Linked DNA regions of Alligator mississippiensis. The main gene of each other region encodes a partner of the protein of the gene in region 2 in a complex. Links are inferred from orthologs where the notes say so. Each region holds a gene or a part of one and is shown on either strand. Other genes may lie near its edges. The genes, in order: CORO2A and TBL1XR1.

Region 1 (11,050 bases), on a different chromosome or scaffold from region 2:
AGAAGCCAATGGCCAAACTCTCACTGATTTGCAAGTAATGGGGCCAGGATGTCAGTGGGTTGCTAACTGTATGAGAAGTACAGGTACTCCTCACTTAAAGTCGTTCCAGTTAATGTTGTTTCGTTATTATGTTGTGGATCTATTAGAGAACATACTAATTTAATGTTGCACTAAGTTTGGTTATAATGTTGTTTGGCTGCCCCCTGCTAGTAGTTAACTACTTTGTAACGTAATTGGATTTGCTTAACATCATTTTGCTTAAAGTCACATTTTTCAAGAATGTAACTAGGACATTAAGCAAGGAGTACCTGTACAGGGACACAACAGCCCCAAGCTGTGCATGCCCCTGCAGGATAATCAAAGCTCAGGCTGAGGTCACGGAGCATCTTGCCACAGTGGGAGTGAAGGGGCCAAGGAAGATGAAGGCATTTTGTACCAGCAGCATTGTCTTGGCTTGCAGCTATTTCTCTGGACCACCCAGCCATTTCACTGGCAGGGATGAGTGCCAAGGGTAGTTTATACCTTTGACACAAAAATCAGGGTGTCTGCTCTCAGTTACAAGGCACCAATGCATCAAGGAACTCTACTGCTGTCAATAAGCAGCACCTGTGCACACTTTCTATGCAACCTCTGGGCCAAATTCTGCCCTGGGTGACTCTCCTGTGGCTCCACTGATGATAATGGGGTACAAAAGTAGCCGGTTTCAGATGGTAAAGCTTAAGATACAGAAAGAAATTCCAGGAAATTGCCTGGGGGACATAGTTGCAATCACATAGTCAAAGGGGCAGAGAGGGGAAGTCCTACTCATGCAGCCTGCAGAGGGGATGTCACAGACAATGCAGAGACCACTGACCACTAACTCCTGCTGTTACTGCACACAGACAGGCTGCAGGGATCTTAATGACATCCTGCAGCCTTCCAAGAGCAAGTACAACCAAAGAGAAGTGAAGATAGAGTAACTTCCACCCATGGTATGTGCTGAGCACCTGAACCTCCATAGTGCTGGACACTTTCAGCTCCTGTTGTATACTATGAGACACACCCACAGCCTTGGAGCAGCTTAAGATGTGCAGGGTGAGGCTGGGATTGATGTCCTTGCAGCAAAGGGTACATTGGCCAGCATGCTGCTCTCACTGCTATAAGATGGAGGGGGATACTCAGGGCTCAACTGCCCAGTGCAACCCATGCCACCATCCTCCAGGCAAAGCAGATAGTTGAGCTGCATGCAGTTGGCTGTGTGGGATTCAGGGGGTTTGTGACAGCTGTGCAGCTCCAGCCTCTGGTATACTCTGCTCTGTGAAGAACAGCCCAGGCCCAGACCACACAAAGCAGGGAGGGGCTGCAGCAAAGTGCATGCACTTAACTATGCCTTGCTAGTCCTGCTGCTCATCTCTCTGGGGCACAAGCCTATAGCAGCTATCGAAGTACAGTAAGGTTCACAGCCCCCAGCCCCTAGCCAGAAGACTGTTGGCTAAATACCAGAATTCACTCCCCTCCTGTCTATGAGCTTCTCAGATGACCTGGAAAGAGTTAGTTTACCTCTGTGTTCACCTCCATGAGGCTGCTGGAGCACCATTCTTGTTTGCCAAGATTCTAGGGCAAGCAGAGCTGCAGAGGACGTTACAACAAAGCCAGTTAAGTATTTTATAGTAATCATGGGGGCAGAGATGTTCCCCATGGGCTAGTACAGGGGTTTTCAACCTTTTTGGGTCATTGTACCCCCAGCAGCCGGTTGACAAGGCAGGAGTCCCCCAGCAGCCAGACGAGCAGCGGGACGGGGGGGCGGGTCCCCCAGAAGCCAGTTGACAAGACTCCCACTGCCAAGTACCTCCTGAGGCCATCAGAAGTACCCCCAGGGGTATGTGTACCTCCAGTTGAAAACCCCTGGGCTAGTAAAAGCTGATCCAGTGCATGGACTGGGAGCTGCAGCTTACTGCCCTGCTTCCCAGAGGCTCCATCAAAGTGCCTACTGCTGGAGTCCCATCCAGCTGGCCAACTGACAGCAGACTCGAACCCGGAAGGGGTAGCCTTTCGGGGAAGAAGAGGAACCTTTGTCTCTGCAGGAAAGTGCAGTATCACGTGGTGCAGGAAGCTGCTGCCCAGGGCATAGAGGAACAGTGGAAAGTAACCATCCAGCACCTCTAGGCTACAAGATTATCTGCCCTGGAAGGGAGGGAACGTGACAGAGTTTGGCCTGGACAGCCAAGACAGTCAAAATGAGGTGCCAAACATACAAGCAAAGAAAGTCCTAGAGCTCATGATGGCAAATGAAAGTCCTAGAGCTCATGATGGGCTGTGTGGTCACCACCCTCCACACACCAGGTACAAGATCATTTGCTCCTAGCCCCAGGCATGTGTGTATGTGTACACTGCATATCCATGTGCCTGCATGTGTTGGACACCATGTGTGTATGTGTCTATGTAGGGGTGGGGTTTTGAGGACCCACGTACTCTGTGCTGGATTCTCCTGAAGACTCAGAGGGGCCCTGCATCAGGCAGTGACTTTGTGACTGCACTTTTGCATCTCATCCAGCCCTAGGCAGAGGACCAAACTCCTGAGGCCCAGCTGGGAGAAGTTTTGTCTTTGCACCCACCTTGGGACTGCTGAGAGGCCCAAGGTGCAGAGGGTGTTGGAGTCAAAGCATGGCAGAAGTGAAAGGGACAGGGCTGCTCTCTCCAGTGGCACCAGCCCAGTGCAAGTAAAAAGTGACTCTCTCCCCTTCTGGCTCTGGTAGCCCCTCAAAGCACAAATCCTGCTAGCACAGCCTGCCAAAGAGCTATTGTGGGGGCACAGAGTTATTGCTCAACTCTACACATATCAGACTGAGGTAGAGAGCCAGTGTCCCCAAATTCAGCCTTTCCTAAGCTTTCAGCTCCATCATGGCACTGTCTGGACTGGCTTTGTAATGCTTCCCAGTGCTATGGATTTCCAAGGTCTTTTGGATTCTGCTCCAGCCTCTCCCCCGGCACTGAGTTCTCACCAGACCTTTTTACATGCAGCACTGTCAGGACACCACCACAGCATAAAAGTGTAAAAGGGAAGCTGTTCCCTTAGGGCTGCGTGGGCTGCACAACATAGCTGCCTGCCTGCACTTTCCACTGGCAGCACATCATGCCCAAAGCTATTGCCTTTCCACCCAGTGGGGATTGCAAGCAACATGCTGCCACCACCCTTCCCAGACCACAAGCAGGGCAAAGCTGGAGAGACATCAATACCTGCATCCTGTGGGACTGCATGCTGCATGCAGCTCAACCCACACCCAGAGCACACACCAAATACAACCTGGACAGGCTACATGCATTGCCAGTCCACAGAGAATGCTGCTGGTTTTCCCTCTGGGTCACATAGCAGACACCACACAGATGCCAACTTTTCCAATTGCCTGCAAAGGTAGATTAGGTCTAAAAAAGTGTCATCTGCCCTGCCAAACACCCATGATTGCCACCCCACAAATCTCAAAAATGCTTTCGCTCAACAAGGACATGCCTCCAGAGAGATAGATTGAACTATTGAAAGAGCCACCCAGATACTATATGAAGAATTGCTACAGTACAGAAGGAAAACCCTCATGAATCGCACACTACTGGTTACGACACATCACCCCTCCCTGGAACCTATACAGAAAATCCTCAAACAATTGCAACCTCTACTAGAAGGAGACCCAGTTCTTAAAGAGATCTTCCCAGAACCACCCATCCTAGCCTTCAAACAAGCACCAAACCTCACTAACCTCATAACCAGAAGCAAACTTTCTATGGCCCAAAATACACCAAATGGATCCAGACCATGCCAGGACAAGAAATGTAAAACCTGCCAACATATCTCCACCACCCCCACAATTACTACATCCCACAACAGAACCATCACCATTCCTGGATCTTACAGCTGCACCTCCAGAAATGTAATACATCTCATCCAATGCACCAAATGCCCCGATGGAAAATTTGTACGAGAGACCAAACAACAACTGTGGAAATCTATCAAAGACAAGAATACCCAATTAGCTGTGCGGGCACGTTTCTCACAAGAAAACCACTCTCTCTCCAATCTTTCAGTTCTGATCCTCAAGGGGAATTTACAGAACACCTTTCACAAATAAGCCTATGAACTTCACTTCATCAACCCCCTGGATACTAAAAATCATGGACTAAATATAGACATTGGATTGATGACACATTATATATAACCTGCCTAACATCTGACTCCCCCAGGTACCTCTCCACTATTTAACTGTTACATTCATCCCCCTTCTCCCCCCTACCCAGCCTGTCTCTCACCCACTGGCTCCTCAATCTACATCTTCACTGACTGCCTGTCTTGTGTGCAGCCCAGCCTCTGGCTTCTTTACTATTCATTCCATCCAAGAAGAGCGCACACCAACTGCAGATGCTTCCTCAGCCTGCGGAAGGGGATTTTCTACCCGAAAGCTTGCAAAGCAAAATGTTTTCCCACTCTTTAAGCTGGTCTAATAAAAGATACCAGATTGACCCAAAGCACCTTGTCTGCCTTTTAGCAGCAGGTGCACCCTGCGCTCCAGTCCGATGCTCTCCTACCTTTGTGATGGTCATGCAGGATTACTCCAGGCCAGGGAGGGCGTGGTGTCCAGCACCCGCTGCAGCAGCGATCTCCAATTCTGCAGGCACACGCAGCCCAGCCCTGCCTCCCTGCCGGCTCGGACGGAGGATCCCCTTGCGGAGTGTGGGCGATCCCTGAGTCACGCTCATTCATAAGTCATGACACAGGGCTGCCTGGCTCGCCTGCTGCAAGAGGCACGAGAGAGCAGGGAGGATCCGAAACGAAAAGCAAAAAAAAAACACCCACCCAACAAACCAAGTAACCTCCAGCTTCCCAGCGCCTGGCAGCGGCAGAGCGAGCTGCGGGGACACCGCACAGTCCCTGCAGCACAGCCCGGGGCGGGGAGGTCGGGGCTCCGGGGGGGTGGGGGAGGAGAGAAAAGGATCAGAGAAAGAGATTTCCTTCCTTTGTGTGCGGCAGAAATAGGAACCTCGGCAGGGAGAGCCGCTGCATATGCATGAGGGCGGGCGGAGCCTGGCTCCACCTAGGCAGACCTGCCCTTCCCTTCCCCGGCCTGCGCTCTCCCGGGACCTGGTGCAGGGCACGTTGCGGGAGCGCTCTGTCGCGTGGGGGACTCAGCTCCTGCTGGCGCATCGCATCAGCCCCTTCCCTTCAGCAGGGCTTCCTCTGGCAAGGGTGAGCGCAGGGCAGGGGCAGGCGCGGAGCTTAACAAGAAATAAAGCAACGTTTTAAGGGGTTGCAGGACACTGAGCCTTCACGAGAGCCAGGGCAGGGGCTGAGCTGCTTTGCTCCGAGGATGCGCTCGGTGTCTGTTGGTGCCTAAATGGGTGATTGGGGCAGATTCCCAGGAGAAACATGCAGCAAGACTAGTCCCTGAGGCCTTGGGCTGTGGGAGCCTGCAGCTCTGGTAGCTGGCATTGCTGATGGGGGAGCAGAGTGCAACCTCCTGCTCATGTGTCGGGAGTGTCTCGAGGCTGTCCTGCATCATCCAGGACTGATCTTGTGTGATCTCTCTTGGCTGGGCTCTGGCTGGCACATATGGATGTGGGCACCACTTCCAGAGGACTTAACTGTCTGTCTATATATGTGTCCACGCTATTAACACTTGCCTTTTCTACCCAGAGCCCTCTGCAGGACAAGCAGTCGTCAAGTCAGCATCTGTCTGCCACAGGAGCCCTAGTAACATATCACGAGATTTCCCCCAAGCTGATGGCCACAGAGAAAGGAAGGGTCACAGGCAGAAGCATTAGCTATGTTCTCAGCATGCCACATAGCTGTTTCTTCTGCCTGACTCAGTGGGGATGTGGGGGGGGAGGGGTGCACATGCCCCACCGAGAGCGCCAATGCACCTCCTGACCAGCTGCACTTGCCAGTTAGGTGAGGACTGGTCCCCCCCTGTGCCCCCCCTGACTAAGGCGGCATCAGTCACCCATAGCCTGACTCCTGCCCCATTGGTAGTCTTGTATTTAAGTCATTGGGTAGACTGCAGTAGGAAACCATCTGCCCCAGCAAGGGTAAGAGACCAGAACCCAGCCCCAGCCTTTCTATGGCAGCATCCTTTTCACTGAGCAATGCACCCTCCCACTTTAATCTTTTGTTGCACATATCTTCTCCCCTTGGCTGCCCAGTGAGTCAGCTTCAAAGGGAGGGCTGCAGAGTGCTTTGGGCAATTCCTGGTAGCCAAGGCACTTCACTGCGTGAAGTGGGCCTAGGACTCAGGTGTTTCTGGCAAATGCCCTAACCCCTACTTGCCCTTCTCAAGATAAGTGGAATTTGGGCCTGTATCTGTACATTAAACCAACTCTTTAATCACAGAACTAGCACAGAGGTGCTTCAGCTCATGTACTATCCATGAGCACGTGGATTGACTCCTTAGCACACCTCCAACTTCTGTCCTTCTAACTCTGCTCCAAGGTCCATGCATTTTTTTCCTTTTAACAAGAGTGTGTGTGTGTGTAGAGCAACTGCTGACTTGCTGAAGCCAGTTTCCACTAAAACATATCCCACAATGGGCAGATGACCTTTCATTATCTTCCCACAAGCCCATGCAGCCTTTTGATGCCTTCAAACAAAGTTGTGAGGTCTAATGTTAGCTCTGGCTGCTCTTCAAGATGGTAGCACATTTGGACTGGTGCTTTACATTCCTGGCCTTTTCTAACGTTCTTTTCTTGTGTCTCTGACCAACACTCTGGATTAACTCTCATGGGTTTCTGCCAGCTAAGGAGTGGATTGGTTGACTCCCCTGGCAATCTGGTTTATGAAGTCTGGTTTATGCACCTTATGTGCATTCAGAGAGGGTGCACCATGTTTGGAATGTGTGAGTGTTAGAAAACAGTGAAAAAATTAGCTCAGGTTTAGGCCACTCTGTGGCTGAGAGGTGCTGCCAAGGTGCACAGCGGGACACACAATTGTAGTGGCCATCTCCCAAAAGAAAGGAAAATTATGAACAGAGCTGCTGAGCTACTACCTCATGACAGCTGCACAAGTGATTGCAGGGCAAATTCCCTTCTGGCTTGGTTACCTTTGCTCAATGAACCCTAGAGCTGGGAGAAATGATAGGCCATATTCTTAGCAGGTGTAATCCAACATACCTGCATTAAAGTGACCTGAGCAGATTGCACCTAGCTAAGGATCAAATCCTATAGCACAAATGGAATACCTCTAGCCAGGCCTGTTAGCTCTAGGGATTTCCTATGAAAAGAAGCTATTTCTCATGAGCCTCTTAAATGGACCTCTTATGGGGCAGCCTGAGCCCAGGGAACATAGCATCTGGTCCATTTTAAATTTAACTGAGGATAACATTTGAAGAGACAGACACCTTCATGAGAATGAGAGTGACAGAGGACAGGCTAAGGGGCAAATTGACAGACAGCTCAGTGACATTCTGAACTTGTGTAGGAGGGTTTGGCAAGTCAAACACACAGGTCACTCTTTGATTTTCACATAAGAACAATGTGTAGCATTTTTCAGCACTCAGGTTTATGGAATATAATCACACAGAGAGAGTAAGGACCAGCCTCCGATCCAGGATGACACATGAGAATATTACACCAGAGCCAAGTGCTGCTGGTAACGAGCCCAGACTAATCACTGGCTCAGCTTCCAAATAATAATATACTGTAATAGGAACAACATTTCTTCCTTCTGGATTGCAGCAGTGCTAACAACTGAACATCCCATGCTGTGGGTGGATGAGCAATGTGGACGTGACCCATCATGCAAAGAAGATTGTTTGCTTTTCTCCACTTATCAGGATTACCTGGGAGTTGTTGGAAGCTGAAAATATGTGCCTGAGCATGTTTCTATCACAATGCCTGCCTAGTTTGGTGGCACACATAGAGGCAGTGGGGGGACAGTTCTTCAGTCCTGAGTCCAGGGTGCATTGAGAGATGGATGTGCTGCATGCTGGCCTTATGGGAGGCCAGGATTACAGGCCAGTGACACTGTGGAGCCAGCCCAGAGACCGGGGCAGAGCCTCCATCCACTCCCCACATGTCCCTGCCCACAGAACTGGTGCCCATCACAGGGACATGTGGGAAGTGGATCATGGCTCTATCCTAGGCCCTATCCCCACACTGTCACTGCCCTGCAATCCCAGCCCCAGCCCCTGCCCACCTGTCCAACTCCCAGCCAGACACTGCTCCATGCCCGCCTGCGGACTCATCCCATCTGCCCGCCCAAGCGTGCCCTGCCTGCGGGAGTCCTGGCTGGTCTCCATGGAGTCCAGAGACCCTGCCTGCCCACCTCTAATGGGGCTTCTACCCCGTTTCTAGAATGAAAAGAAGGCCAGACACCTCTGGCCCATTCCCCCCTCTTTCATCACCCTCCCCTTTCTAAAGCTTTTCCTTCCTTATCTTGCTGTGTGTTGACCAGTGCTTCCTTCCCTTGGTAGAGGTCCCTTCCCCCTTTCCCCTGGCCACCTTCCACTTCATCTCAGTCCTCTCTCTCTCTCTCTCTACCTGTGCCCTGGGGGTAACCCCTGAGCCAAATTCAGAGGGAGGGGGGGACTGCAGTAAGATGGCTGCTGGGTCCAGGTGCAGGCAGAGCCAGGGGACCCAGGCAGGGGAACTTGCAGCAAGATGGCTTCCAGGTCCAGGAAGCAAGTCAAGTAACCTGGGCACTTTCTGTTGTGGTTTTTCTACATGGAGCCCACCACCAAGGGGTGCAGTGAACCACAGGCAGACCATTCCTTTGGACTGGTGCTTGCACTTTGGGGGTTTCATTTCCCCCTTTCCCTCCCCCCTCTCTCCCGGATGGCCAGGTTGTAGCTATACGTATGGAGGAAGCCACAGAAAGGGGATGACTAATGGGTGCACCCCAAACTTGAGATTGCTCTATGTGGAACTTGAGATCATAGAGCATGACTAGAGTGTGTACTGTGGCCATAGGAGGCCAAACTTGACTGAACTGTGAGACAGCAGGTAGCAGGGGGTAGGTGTGAGCCAGCAGTGGCTGTCATAACAGAGGATCTGCTGATAGGAGGAACTTGACCACTCTGTTTACTGCTTGAGACTGAGCAGGAACCAGCCACATGCTGGTCTAAGACAGAGCAAGTGGGAAAACAGTAAAAAATAGGCCCAGATGCCCAGTGGGGACAAATTGGCTCAGTGAAAGCATGACCCATGACTGCCAGTGCAGCAGGCACCCAGAACAAGGAGAGGATGCTAAAGAGTGCAGTATGGAATTTGTTCTCCAGGAGGTCCAACCAACCCTTCCATTCTGGGTCAGCGTCTACAAGGGTGGCTGCACAACAGGGATGCCAGGCTGTGAGGAGAATGGGCACCTTCCCCTAACTGTTCCTCCTCCAAATTCTCAGGGTGCTCTGGGAATTCACTGAAACTAAAGAAGCTGTCATTCACCCGGAGCTGCTTGGATTCACAGATGTTATAGGCAGGGTTTCTGAAATGACAAGAAAGCCTCACCTGTGTCCCAGACGGCCAAAGCCGACTCGAGGTGATTCAATAATTACTCGTTCGTCGGGGCGGGCTGGTGAATAGAGAGGCCGAGAAAGCTTTATGGTTGTAAAACTTTACTTACGTCGCTTGCTGTTGCGACAAAAATGGTCCAGTCGTCTGAACAACTACGTTAGTTGTTCCAGCTGGCAGGGCTCAGGCCAGCACGTCCGTCTACAAATCGGGCCGGCAGGGAAAAGGATACGTCTGGGATTGCACTCGGCGACGGGGAGACGAATCAATAGGTGATCAGTCTATCGATCAGCTCAGCCACGAGTCAGATCTCTTCAGAAGCACTCTGCAGCGTGCTCAAAGTTCTCCGACTTGGGCGGAAGTCGCGCTAATTTTTAAACGGCCAGCAAGCCAATTACTAGCCGCCACGTGTGCATAATTTAGAACTGGCCAATAGCGGGACACAAATTTACATTCGAATGGCAGGAACTCTCCTGCACCGGGGGTTTTCTGCAACAACAGAAAGCCTTTACTTTGCAAGAGGCTCTCATGTGGCGGGAAAATTCCACCGTGCCGAGGCACCAAAATCACTGGGTTGTGACAACCTGCATGTAGCAGAAACAGGCAATGTCCCCCCTGCCTTCTCCTGCCCGTACACACAGACACATACACTCCCCTGGGCATTGTCTATGTGCTGATTTGGACAGATTACTACAAGTAGAGTCCCTACTGCCTACTCAGAACTCATCTCTGCACTAACACTACCCAAGTGATGGCACAGACTAACAACTGTAGGCATTGAGAGCCCCATCCCATGTAAAATAAGGTCAAGAGCAACATAGATTATAGACATCCACAATTAAGGGTCAGAGTCAGTATACAATTTATGCACACATGCAAACTAAGGTCTGTAAGTAGTATTCATTATTAGGGGTGCACCGATATAAGATTTTGTTGGCCGATACCAATAGCCAGTTATTCACCAGGATATCAGCCGATACTGATCTAATAACCAATTTACAGGAATACAACCAGGCAGTGTGGAGAGCAGCTCCCTGCATGCAAGTCTGTGGAGAAGAAGGGGTGTGGGGGAGCAGATTGAGGCCCCCATGGTGAGGGAGGGAGTGGGGTAGGGGCTGGAGGCGCTGCCCAGTCAGGGTGGTGAATGGAACCCCGGGGCAAGAGTGAGACGGAGCCGCAGGTGGCTCATCCGGGGGATCAATGGCACTTAAAAATGGTGCTTAAAAATAGCAGAGGGGGCACTTGAACTAGAGCTCATGAAACGAGCTTTAGTTCAAGCCCCGCCACCACCATTTTTAAGCACAGGGATGCTTTTAGGGGCGGAGCCAAGCAGTGTAAGGGTGGAGGCAGGCTGCCTGCTGTGAGCTTGGGGCTCTCCACTCTGCTGCCTTTGCCCCAGGACCTGCATATTGGCCGTGTGTCCCCTGCCCGCACGGTGGCAGGAGGCAACACTTGCTACCGCCACCACTGCCGGGTGGGCAGGGGACATGTGGCCAGTGCATGGTTCCCAGAGCAAAGGCAGCAGCACAGAGAGCCGCAAAGCTGCAACAGGTAGCCTGCCTCTTCCCCGTGCACAAATCTGGGGGGG
Region 2 (11,822 bases):
ACGTTGGAATTCACCTCACATGCACTTGTGATAACAAGAATTCCCAGCTCTCTGGTCACAATGTTGATAGGTCACCCATGTGAGAAACCTGAACTTTAACATGGTCTGCTTGAAAGATATGGGGACATAAGTTTGAATCCCTTCTAAAAGTTAAGGCCCCTTAACACTGACAATATCTATAGTTGTGGTGCCAGGCACATGATTTTCTCTGAAGATTCAACACCTTAACTCTTAACCTGGATAAAACTCCAGAAACAAAACATTATGCAGGAAATTGCTACATGGTCTTAACTCTTTTTCAGCAACTATGCTCTTTTTCAGCAACTATGCAAAGCTTAGAGATGCAAACACGGGTGTTTATACCCAAAAGCTTGCAAAGGAATTTTTTTTTCAACTATTTTAGTTGGTCTAATAAAGGATATTACATCTACCCAAAGAACCTTGTCTGCCTATGTCCTTAGGCCAACAGAGCTACAACCTATACCCCTGAAACAGAGTAGGAAACTTTCAAAAGTTAATAGTTTTGATCCATAAGAATCTACAAGTGTGTGATATCACCCTGATGAGTGTAGGGATTATAAAAATCTGTCTGCAGGTCACACCAAGGGTTTAAAAAGAGCCCTGGCATCAGCGGCAAGACAGCAGCATGCCGCTCAACTTGAGAGGACCGTTGCCCTGCCTGAGGGAGCAGGGAGGCCTGTACCCGTCCTCTGGACCATCTAAAATTTCTAGAAATGCTGCTGCAGCTACCCAAAGTTTTGTTGCAAAATGTTTGCTTATGGCAGATGAACATTTGGAGCTTCTCCATAACATGGTACACAGAAGATAGGCTGTGACTGGATATTGACTGTAAAATACAGAAACAAAAAACCCAGGACATCCTGTGAATGACTGAATTTTAACTGCTCGGCATCAATTATAATTAAGATCACTCTTTCGCAACACTGAGGCAAATACTCCACGTACTCTGTGACTTAACATTTTTAGTCTTCATTCCATTGTTGTAAATCTTCCATCTCCAACATTACTCCCAGAGAAAAACAGGCATTACAGCCCGAAAAAGAAGTTTGCAAACTCAGCAAAATACCAGTAGGGCTTAATTTTCTGAGACGCTAAGCACACAAAATTGTTCCCTGACTTCAAATGGAGTTGCAAACACACAGATTTTTTGCAAATGTGACTAGTGTCTACCATACATGTTGTCTTTTCCAAATGAAAGTGCCAGCCAACTCATCCACAAGAAATAAAACAAACTTTTTCAAGCATCCAACTTTACTACAGTATAAATTCAACCTGTAGCCAACCCTTCCATGCCTCCATGTGAAGCAGGATGGGCAGCATCTCTGTAGTCACTTAGGAAGCCTTCCTAGAAATAGGAGCATGGGGTGTGTACTACACACTATTTTGCCCACAGCGTACTTTTTCAGAAGTTTAAAAATTATCTATAAACATTAAATAATCAACATGCAAAAAATATATTATTTTGGTAGACATATACTGAAGTAAAGATACTCAGCTCATTTCTCTGTGGGTATGTAGACACACCCCCAAAATAATGTAGGCAATACAAATATAATAATAATTTAGTTCCAAACCCTACAAACACCAACCCATATGAGCAACTTATGTACATGTGGAGACTACATGAGATAATTGGTCTGCAAAAGAATAAGCCATGTGTGTTACATATTTACAGGATTTTCTGATTTAAGCCCCACAAGCATGTCAATTTAGGAAAGACAGACAAAGTAAATGTAAAATTGCGTAATTCAGTCTAAGAAAAGTTTTACTGAAAGTTTAAAAACCATATGCAGCTCATGGTTCTGACCACTTATGCTCAGTCCAACCAGATACTCCTTATAAGAGGTCACAGTGCTTTGAAATATCAAGCTCTCTCACAAGGGGAAAACAACTATGAAGTTGCAAGTAAACTAGTAAAGTACTTGGCATTTACATAACACCTTGTAACTTCAAAGCACCACACACACACACCAGTCATTACCTCACAGATTAAAAACCCAGAAGCAGCATTTGTACAAATTCTCTTAAAAAAACAAAACAAAACTGTAAATAGAAGTCTGAAGGAAAGTATTACACTTGCACAGCAAACAGACCTAATGATGTTAGGCATTCAGTCCTCCAAATGAAGTACACAAATCCAAATAAAAAAAAAAAATCTAACTCATTGATATACTAAAAGCCAAAACACAAGTCCCAATTACTCACATATTTAAGTCCCAGTTCATCCCTTCCCTCTCTTCTTATGGAATGCATGCTAAATATTTCCCAAGTGATCTCAATAATAATTTGGGAGCCTGGGTTTCCAAGACACTGGATTCCCAAGATACAATACCACATGAACCCTATTTTCATGGAGAGAAAGCCTGGCACTCCTTTAACTAACATAACTTAGTAAAACAGAGAGAGCAGATAGTCACAAATGGCCTGGGAGTAAAAGTAAAAGGTAAGTTCTAAAATAATAGCTTTAACCAAAAAGAAAAAAAGAAATCATCACAATAGGAAGCCACAGAAAACCTGCTACTATTATTTAAGCAGCAACAACAATGTGCTTGGCACATTTCATCTTAACAGTCCCTCTCCCACCCCTTATGTTTTCAAGATCTACAAACAATATGACACTTGCACAACTTTAAGCACACGCATAACAACTTTGCACAGGATCAACACATTTATAAAATTGGTTGATGAGATTATTAACATGAATGGGTCCCAATCAAGGCCCCAATCTCACCATGAGTTTCACAAGGGCAGATCTCCAAGCCTGTGCTTAATTTGAAGCATAAGGAGGGCTGCCAAACAGCCCTAGAACTTCAGGCATTATTCAAAAGCCATACCTGAAATTTTGCAAATGGCACCTTCCTGCAGAATGGGCCCAAATCAAAGCCTGAGTCAGTATCCAATGAGCAAAAAACATCAATAATAAAACATCTCCATTGTGAATATGCTTTGTAACATCCTCAAGTATTTATTGTAATATCTTCATGACAGTAAAATGCTGTGTAGTCAAGCTCAGGCCAATTTGTGTGTGTGACAACTGCAGAATCCTCCTGACCACAAGTTTCTGCCTCCTCTCCTTTAATAACAAAGAGTGAGCATGCTTTGCCAGCTTGACTATAAATCAGTTAATTTACCGATTTACACAGACAGGAAAATAAGGAAGTTGAGTACATTTGACAGTAGTGAAAAAAACCCAAAAACCCAAAAACAAACTGCAACAGCAAACTTCACACGGCAACCCCACACAGCAACCTACAGACCAAACTTTCTTAAAAAAAATAAAAAAGATTCACCTTGCTATCTCAAGCAACAAGAAAGCACGAAACACATACCAGGCTCTCACAAGAGACTTTTCTCTCTCATAAATTTTGCCTTCACAGGGAATATAGTGCTGAAAGATTCAACTCACCTGTAACAACTTTAATTTCTAAGTCCACCCCTTCAAAAGCAGACTAAGAGACTGCACGTTTTGGTGTTACAACTGCTACACATGGTCGATCACCAACTCAGAGAGCCTCTCTCCATTTTAGGTGTAAAGATCTAGTGCACAGGACAAGCCTGACTGCTTCATTTTGCATTTTTTTTTGAATGATCAAGCTCAGGGAAAAAAAACAAAACACAACACACTTATGAAAAAAAAAAAACAGAAACACTTCCATTTCCACAACTAGGGCCCACATCTTGCTTCTCCATGTGGCCCTTCCCGTCACCAAAAAGCTCATGTGCCACCCCAAAGCTCATGTGCCCACCCTCAACAGGGGACTGCCACACACAGAAAACTTTGCCACTTCCCAGCTTCAAATCCAAATGATAAATACAAGAGGGTCCCCCTCACACCCACCCAGGGCTGCAGAAACACAAAGGAAACCATTCCCTTGAACTTCCAAAGGGAAATGCACACAGCACAATTGCAAAGAAAGGAAATTAAGGAGAGAGGAAAAAATAGAAGGGGAAGGGGGGGAGGGGAAAACAAACAACAAAACAATCACACAGAGGGGAAAAAAGTGTGGACACAGGAGCACTCCCCTCCCCCACTCCACCATGAGTTCAGCCACAAGCACATTTCTACCCCATACAAAGGCACCAGAAACCCATTGCAAAAAAATCAATCAATCAATCAATACAGACCTAAGGTCACACTTCGGGGTGGCTTCCCGCCCCCACACCCCCCTCTTCTTTCTTTTTTTTTTTTTTTGTAATATGTGCACTGCAAAATAAACACATTCAATCCTACAAGATGCCTCTTCTTTACACCAATCAAGCTAAAAATAGGCTAGAAACCAGCCTGCCTCATGATGGCTCCTTGATTCAATTTGCAGCAAAATCCTTCCCCCCCCCACCACCACCTTTCCCCACCCTTTATTTTAATATATATAAAACCCAAAAGGTTGGGGGGGGGAGGGGGAGCCAAGGGTGGGAAAGGAGAAGAGGAAGGGGGTGTGTTGGGGGGGCACAAAAGCACCCAAACAAGCTGGGACGAGGGGGGGAAGGGGGCATGCAAGGCTCACCAGCGGCTCCCCAAAGCCAAAAACACCCCTTGCTCAGGCAGCCAAGGGGGAGGGGGGAAGGGAAGGGAAGGGAAGGGAGGGAGGGGGGAAAGGCATGTTAGTGCTGCCCATCCCCCACCCCGCTTCTCCAACCAGCTGCCCTCCCCCACCCCCACCCCTATGCACTGGGAGGGGGCAGAGGTTACTGGTGCAAACCCCCCCCAAATAAAATAAATCCTTACCTTGCAATGGAGGGCTGAGTGGCTGCTTCCCCCCCCTTGGTTTTTGCAATGGAGAAACACACACACACGCACACACACCCTCCCTCCCCCTCCCCCCCTCCAAAAAAAAATAATAATAAAAAAAAAATTTAAAAAAACCCCCAAACTCCAAAAGCAATTCACCCCGGGCTGTCTCCTCCTTGCTACATCTAGGTGTCTAATGGGTGTCTTTTAGCTGAGGTGCCCACACCGAGGGGGGAGGGGAGAAGAGGAAGGGGAAAAAAAAAAAAAAGAAAAAAAAAGGCAGTGGGGGGGGAGGGGGAGGGAAACACACACACGGGGGGGGAGGGGAGGAAGTCACCACCAAATGCTGCTGTGATATTCAATTAGGGGGGGAGGGGGAGGGGTGGGGGATGAAGTCCTGAGGAGGAAGAGCGGTAACGCACGCGTGTGTGTGTGTGTGTGTGAGTGAGTGTGAGGCGCGGAGCGGGGCCGGCGGCAGGAAGCTGTTACTAGGGGAAGGAGCCAAACGGCGCGGAGCAGCCAACGGCTCGAGACGCCCCGTGCGGGGACGGCGCGCCCGGCCGCACGGAAATGGGCCGGCCCGGGGGGGCGCCGCGCGCACCCTCCCGCCCCTCCTGCCCCCCTCTCCCCTCCTCGGACCCCCCCCAAACACACACACACACACACACACACACACGGGGGAGGGGGGGCACTGGGAGGTTTACAAGCCAAATGCATGGTATTGCCAAGCAAAGCCCTGAGCTGGGGGGGGAAGAGGGACACTTTGTGGGGGGGCAGGATGCAGGATCCTGCTCCCCCCTTTGCTCACCAGCTGCATATTGCCAAGCAAAGCCCTGGGCTGGGGGGAAGATGCAGGACCCTGCCCGCTTTTCCCCCTCTTTGCAAGGCAGATGCATGATATTGCCAAGCAGTCCTGGCTGGGGGGGAGATGCAGGACCTTGCCCCCTTTTTGCCCCCTTTTCACCTTCTTTGGAGCCTGCCCGCTTTGCCTGGCAATATCTCACGCAGGTGGTTTGCAAAGTCCTGGGCTGGGGTGACAGAGGGCACTGGGGATCCTGCCCCCTTTGCAAACCAGATGGGTGAGATATTGCTAAGCAAAGTCCTGAGCTGGGGTAAAGGGCATGAAGGGGGACACTTGGGGGCGGGGGGCAGGATGCAGGACCTTGCCCCCTTTTCTCACCAGTTGCACGAGATATTGCCAAGCAAAGCCCTGCACTGGTGTGAAGATGCAGGATCCTGCCCCTTTTTACCCCCCTTTGCAAGCCAGCTGTGTGTGATATTGCCAAGCAAAGCCCTGGGCTGGGGTGAAGGGGGTACTGGGGGGGGCCAGGATGCAGGACGCTGCCCCCTTCTCTCCCCGTTCGCAAGCCAGCTGCGTGAGGTATTGCCAAGCAAGGCGGTTTTGTTGTTGGAAAATAGGCAAGCCACCAACAGCCAGGACTGCCAGCTGTGGGGGTGGGTTAGCATAGGGGGGTGGGAAGGGGGACGACATGGGGGTATAATATACTAAGGGAAATCCCCTCCCCTCCCACATGTGCTCCAGGAAGTACAAGGCAGTCTTGGCAGGCAGGGCTGGTTTGTTGTTCAAAGCATGCCAGCCAGCAGAGCAAGGGCCAAGCGTGGTGCAAGGAGCATAGGGGGCTGGGGTCCAGCACAGCCAAGGAGGCCCTTTCACAAATGTACTCATGTTCCTTACACCCCGCAAGCTAGTGGCACACTGTACTTTTGCCAAAGGCTGGGGTTTGATTAGTAGGACTACACAAAGCAGAAAGCACCAACAAAGCAACATATGGGGGTGAAACAGAAGCCATGAGTGTCCCAATTCAACCAGAAGAGACCTCCCCCACCCAGGGGAGCGCACCCTCCCAGAGCTCTGCAGCAGTTTGCACTGAGCAATATTGTCAGGCACTGTTAATTTATTACTGATGTCGAACAAACCATCAGCAACCAGAATAGCAAGGAGGAGTAGGCACAGGCACTGGGGTTCAAATACAGCAGGAGAGGCGTTTCCCAGATTGTGTGCACACAGCTTTGCAACAGCTTGCGCAAGGCAATAGAGCTGGCCATTGTGCTTTTATTGTTGCTCTTATTTTTTTAAGCACATCCATGGTGTATTGCCAGAGCACTTGCATCATGTACATGTAGCATGTCTGTAATGCTTTATTATTTTAAATGCTTGATTATTAACTGTAGTGTCTGGTCCTTACGCCCTGACCCAGCCATTACAGGATCAGCGCTGTAGCGTTCCTGTTTCTTAGTAAAATCCTTCTTTTTCATTATATTTAGTCCCATGCACACTGTTCTTTTTCAGACTCTAATAATATTTAGCATTTATATCACAATTCAGGTTTTCCAAAGCAGGATTCATTCATATGAATCATCTTGGGGCTTTTTTCTGAGCACTTGCCTAGCTCAGATCCTGCAGTCAAATCTTCATGAGCAATGCCCCTACAAGTCCCAAACTGATCGGCCTGCAGGAATAGGAGCTGCGGGATGAATTCCAAGTAGAGACTTCATACCAGCATGCTTCACAGGCGGCCAAAATACTCCCAACCCCTCTGTAAGTGACAGAGAGGCTCAGTCGCTGTTCCAGGCCACAGCCTTAGAGTAGGAGCTATGAAGATCTGTACCATGGTGTCATTTCTGCTCCGTGGTGGGGGAAAATTTTGCATTTGTCCTAATTACCAGGCTTGATATGGGTGAGCATCACCTTATACTGGTCCTGGACCTGCAAGCTGATCCACGTAGATGGATCCTTGTGCCCTAGCACAATTCCACAGGAAGCCAAACTCCAGGACTTCAGCGGACGCCAAGGATCAGCCCCATTGTTCGGTTTTGCAGGATCAGGGCCAGAGTGCTTTTTGTTCGGTGCTTTCTAAATAGCTATAATAATAATAATCAGTACTTGCAGAAAATAGCATTTTTCATTGTGCCATCCAAAATAGCTCAACACTTGGCCTTCCAGACAAGGCTGCAAAGTCTATTTCCGCAGAATTTTGGAGACGGCTGTATCATATATGGGAACAGAAGACTGTGAAGGAGGGGTTTATATCATTAATTGCCATCCAGTGGATTGTTGTGCTGAATTACTGAATTAAGTAATTCGGTATTACTAAATGTTTATCTTTTTAATTGATTTTTAATGGGCTGAGTTTGCAAGGTCCTACACTCCACCTGATGGTATTTCTTGTCCGTTTGTCTACCTAGCAAGTTTGGCATATTAACTTTTGGACACGACACCTGTTCAATTAAAAAATTCCAGGAAACAGACAAGAACACCATTGATGTTGGGGAGCAGATGGAAGGGGAACTCCTTTTCCCTGTTTAAGAGAGCCACAGCTTCATGCACCCCTGCAACAGCAAGATGCAATTGATGGTGGTACCCAGTCACTTTGAATTATTTCCCCTCCTAGCTGAAAGAATAGAAATGATAATGTAGGATGGAGATGGGGGGGAAATGGGAGCTTGCTCATTCATGCAGAACTCCTGGCTCTGTGGAGAGAAAGTGGACCCCTGGTCTGGGGGGGATGGAGGCTGTACACAGACAACTTGGCATGGAGGAAAAGAGAAGAAGGTACTTTTAACTAAATAATAATCTGTAGCACCTTTTGTTTTACAAGCCATCTAGTAATGATAGACACAGGACAAACCACAGTGTTTCCGTCAGGAAGTGGATCCTAAGTCCTACAAAATTTGGATCTGAGTTATGTTTCTAGCACATCCCTAAATAAGAATAAACTTTTCATTTTCTAGGTACTTTAATAAGGCTGTGACTCGCTTTTAGTGATGTCGGAAAATAGTGGCCCTGCGTTGTCCCTGAGCAGTCTCCCTGAAGCTGGTGAAATTACTCATATAGTAGTGAATGCCGTGTTCAGAAGCTGTGTTTGCAGTATCATCAACTGAGTATGCACAGCACCACACACAGTCTGTGCTCCATAAACAATAATACTTGGCACTCAGAGAATGGTTTCTATTTTCAAAGCACTTAGAACCAATGATACTTATGTAGCATTTTACATCTTTGCAAGAATCAATTAATCCTCGCAATGCCCTGTGAGATACGGATAGGTAAGCACTGTATAGCTGCTGTTGTTTTTTTTAATGCCACATATTCAAACTATTTTTTGGAATGCAAATATATCAGTAATATTTGTTTTATAAGCATTTTCAGCAAATAATGAACAATGACAGTATCTTAAATCTATATCATAATTTGAATTCTAACCCTTTAAATTCAGTATGTTTTACTGGGACCAGTTGAAAGGCTTAAATATACACAAGTAGAAAGATAATACTTGATATAAGAGGGAAAGGGATCAGGCCCAGCCTTTCATAGTGGCTGCATGCTAAAGTATAGGTTTCAATATTATTATTATTATTATTGTCCCTAAACCATTGTTTGCTTCTAGAGTTAGACCTTGATCATGTAAAGAGCCCTTTGTGAATGAGACTGATTTTAGCTTCCTGTCCTTTACAAATACAGTATCAGGGAAATGCAGCCATGTAGAGAATTGGGTGGAAGGTGATAATGACTCATACATTGTGCAATAGTAAGGGGTGTGCCAGTTCTGGCCAGGACTAGGGCAAATCCTTTTTCTCATAAAAATTACCGTATTGTCTTTGATATGCATGCAAGCCCTGATTCAGTCTGATACTTAAAACTGTGCTACTTAGCCCTACTGACTTTGATGGGACTGTCCATATGCTTGATGTCAGGGATATGCTTAAGTACTCTGCTATGACTGAGGAGGAAGGGGGAAGAGCCGGGAATACCTAGAAGCACACTGTGTAGGCACTTGTACTCCACTTTAAGAGGGCTTTTCACAGTAAATGTTCCAATGTGGATTAGCCTACACCACACAAAAGTGCTCATGGCTACACAAATAGAGCTGTTTTGAGATAGTTGCTAGGCTTTTGCCACAAGGTTCCTCCTATATGTCAGTGTACCTACCCCTGTCCCAAAAAGAAACTGCCCTGGAATAGAAACAAGTCTAAATTTCCCAGGTTAAGCATTCTTAATTTGGGTTGACAGGGTGTGTCATGGGGCCGCAACTTGGAGTTTATTGGAGTCTTGGTGTGACATAAGGGAACTAACTATTCAGGAGTGACTATTATGTCAATTTATACCCTGGCAATTTCTAGATAACTTCCCAATGTGGACAAGCACAAATTCTGGAGCACGGCTCAGATAGAACCTGAGTTTTCTATCTGCTTCAGTACAGCAGAGAACACATTAATTTGTTTAACACTATACAAGACCATTGAGAGCATGCAGCTATAGAAGAACATGAGAACATGGGGGATCTCTTAAGAGTGGGCTGCTTTCCCCAGTTTCCAGCAATGAAACTGGTTTGTCTGTGTATTGCATGCGTGTCAAAGGAAAAAGAAAACAATGGTTCTTCAGTTTGGAGGGACTCATTTTATGTGCGTGGTAGCTCACCAGAATTGACCCCATTTTTGTTGGCAGATTCAAAAAGGTAACAGAGGTTTCCCTCGCTTTATGCTGTACATGCATTCCTGGAAAATGATGCATAACTCAAATTTTCATAAAGGGACCCCACTTTCCAATGTAATGAATAGGGATACATTCCAAGACCTCGACTGTAGTGACCCCCAGAGCCATTTCTACCACTTTTACAAGACAATTTTGGTACTCGCCGACAGCAGACAGTACACACAAGCACAGGGCACTATCATTACGGGGATGGCAACTGCAGAAACATGTGTTGCAGACAACAAGCAAGGAGCACAGATCCACGCAGGAGACTATATTTTGGCGCGCGTCACTCCCACAATGCACCGCATAAAGCAGCTGACTGTGGGCTTCCACCACACTGATCACATAAGGGTGAATTTACCTCTCATATAACTAATTTTTGGTGTACAAAGGGTCATTGCATAAGAGCGAATTCGCACATACAGAACCCGCATAAAGCGAGAGAAACCTGTAGATTGTGGTAGGAGCTGAGCACCTTTTAATATCAGACCTTGTACTTCTACCCTACATTTAGCCTAGCAATTAAATCAGTAGTATCTTCTGCATGTATTTGGGACAACAGCCAAGACATTACACTTTCTTTCCAACATGCCTGGTGCTCATGTGATGCCAACCTTTTCTGAAGGTTGTTTTTCAGCAGACACTCTAAATACACATAATATTTATTCCATTTATATAATACCAATATTATTATATTATTCTTGTATTAATAATATTATATTATTATTAATACAAATAATACCAGTTATTTAAATGGTAAGTGTGTTACATACAGTGTAGGTATCTATAGAGAAAAAAATGAGTCAATTATAAAATAATAAGATGCTTAACAAACAGATCTGTATATATTGATCCAAGAGACTTATTTGTTGCCTTAACTAGACTTGGAGCAATAACGCACATAATGAGCGGCCATTTACCTTTCTATCTTTGGTGCATTGTTTGAACCCAGGCTAAAGGCCAACTAACTGCCTTTGAGGCGTGAAGATATCTGGTATGACTGCATTTCTGAGAGCATACTCACAGTGTTGTAAAATGGTTCTAGTATACCTATGTAACAATGAGCCAATAACTTGTGGTAATCTAAGGGATTTAAGTGAGGAAACAGGCCTTGTGCTACTAAAAAGGATGGATTTCACGTGGTATGTTTAGAGGTCACTATGCACGGTAGCAGGGAAACAATTAATGTGGCTTAAGCCTGACAGTGTTGGAATCTATCGTTGGGGGTTTAAAGCATTTCTCTAAATGTAGGCCCCATGCCAGCCAAAGTTTCTCAGCTGCTAGCCCATCACCCATAAAACCAGCAGGACTTTTTTTGGAAATCCAGCTTTATGTGCTTATATTTGTACACGTACACCTGGAAAAGTTGCTGCTTTGTATAAAGAAAGTGTGAGGCTAACAATACTAGTTTTTTTAATTCTTCCTTTCAGAGAGGAGCTTCCAGCCCTCACCTTCTCCTAAGAAACAGCCCTTTTTAAGCATGTTCAAGCTTTTTCTCATCTTTTTTTTTTTTTTTTTTTGCCTGATACTTCCAATGCTATGCTTTGGCTGCAGAAGGACTGGCAGAAACATGCT

The links.
Region 1: TBL1XR1 (region 2) and CORO2A share a complex: the UniProt entries of both Homo sapiens proteins name them as parts of the N-Cor repressor complex. The link is inferred for Alligator mississippiensis from reciprocal best matches to the Homo sapiens genes TBL1XR1 and CORO2A.

Annotation. Positions count from the first base shown.
Region 1 is NC_081826.1:153,244,800-153,255,849, reverse strand, and holds the start of CORO2A (coronin-2A), read right to left. Parts: upstream 5,035-11,050; 5' UTR 4,570-5,034; coding exon 4,555-4,569; intron 1-4,554.
Region 2 is NC_081830.1:79,319,543-79,331,364, forward strand, and holds the start of TBL1XR1 (F-box-like/WD repeat-containing protein TBL1XR1), read right to left. Parts: upstream 5,244-11,822; 5' UTR 4,748-5,243; intron 4,573-4,747; exon of another isoform or gene 4,527-4,572; intron 4,152-4,526; exon of another isoform or gene 3,860-4,151; intron 3,616-3,859; 5' UTR 3,428-3,615; intron 2,316-3,427; exon of another isoform or gene 2,227-2,315; intron 1-2,226. UniProt on the Homo sapiens protein: F-box-like protein involved in the recruitment of the ubiquitin/19S proteasome complex to nuclear receptor-regulated transcription units. Plays an essential role in transcription activation mediated by nuclear receptors.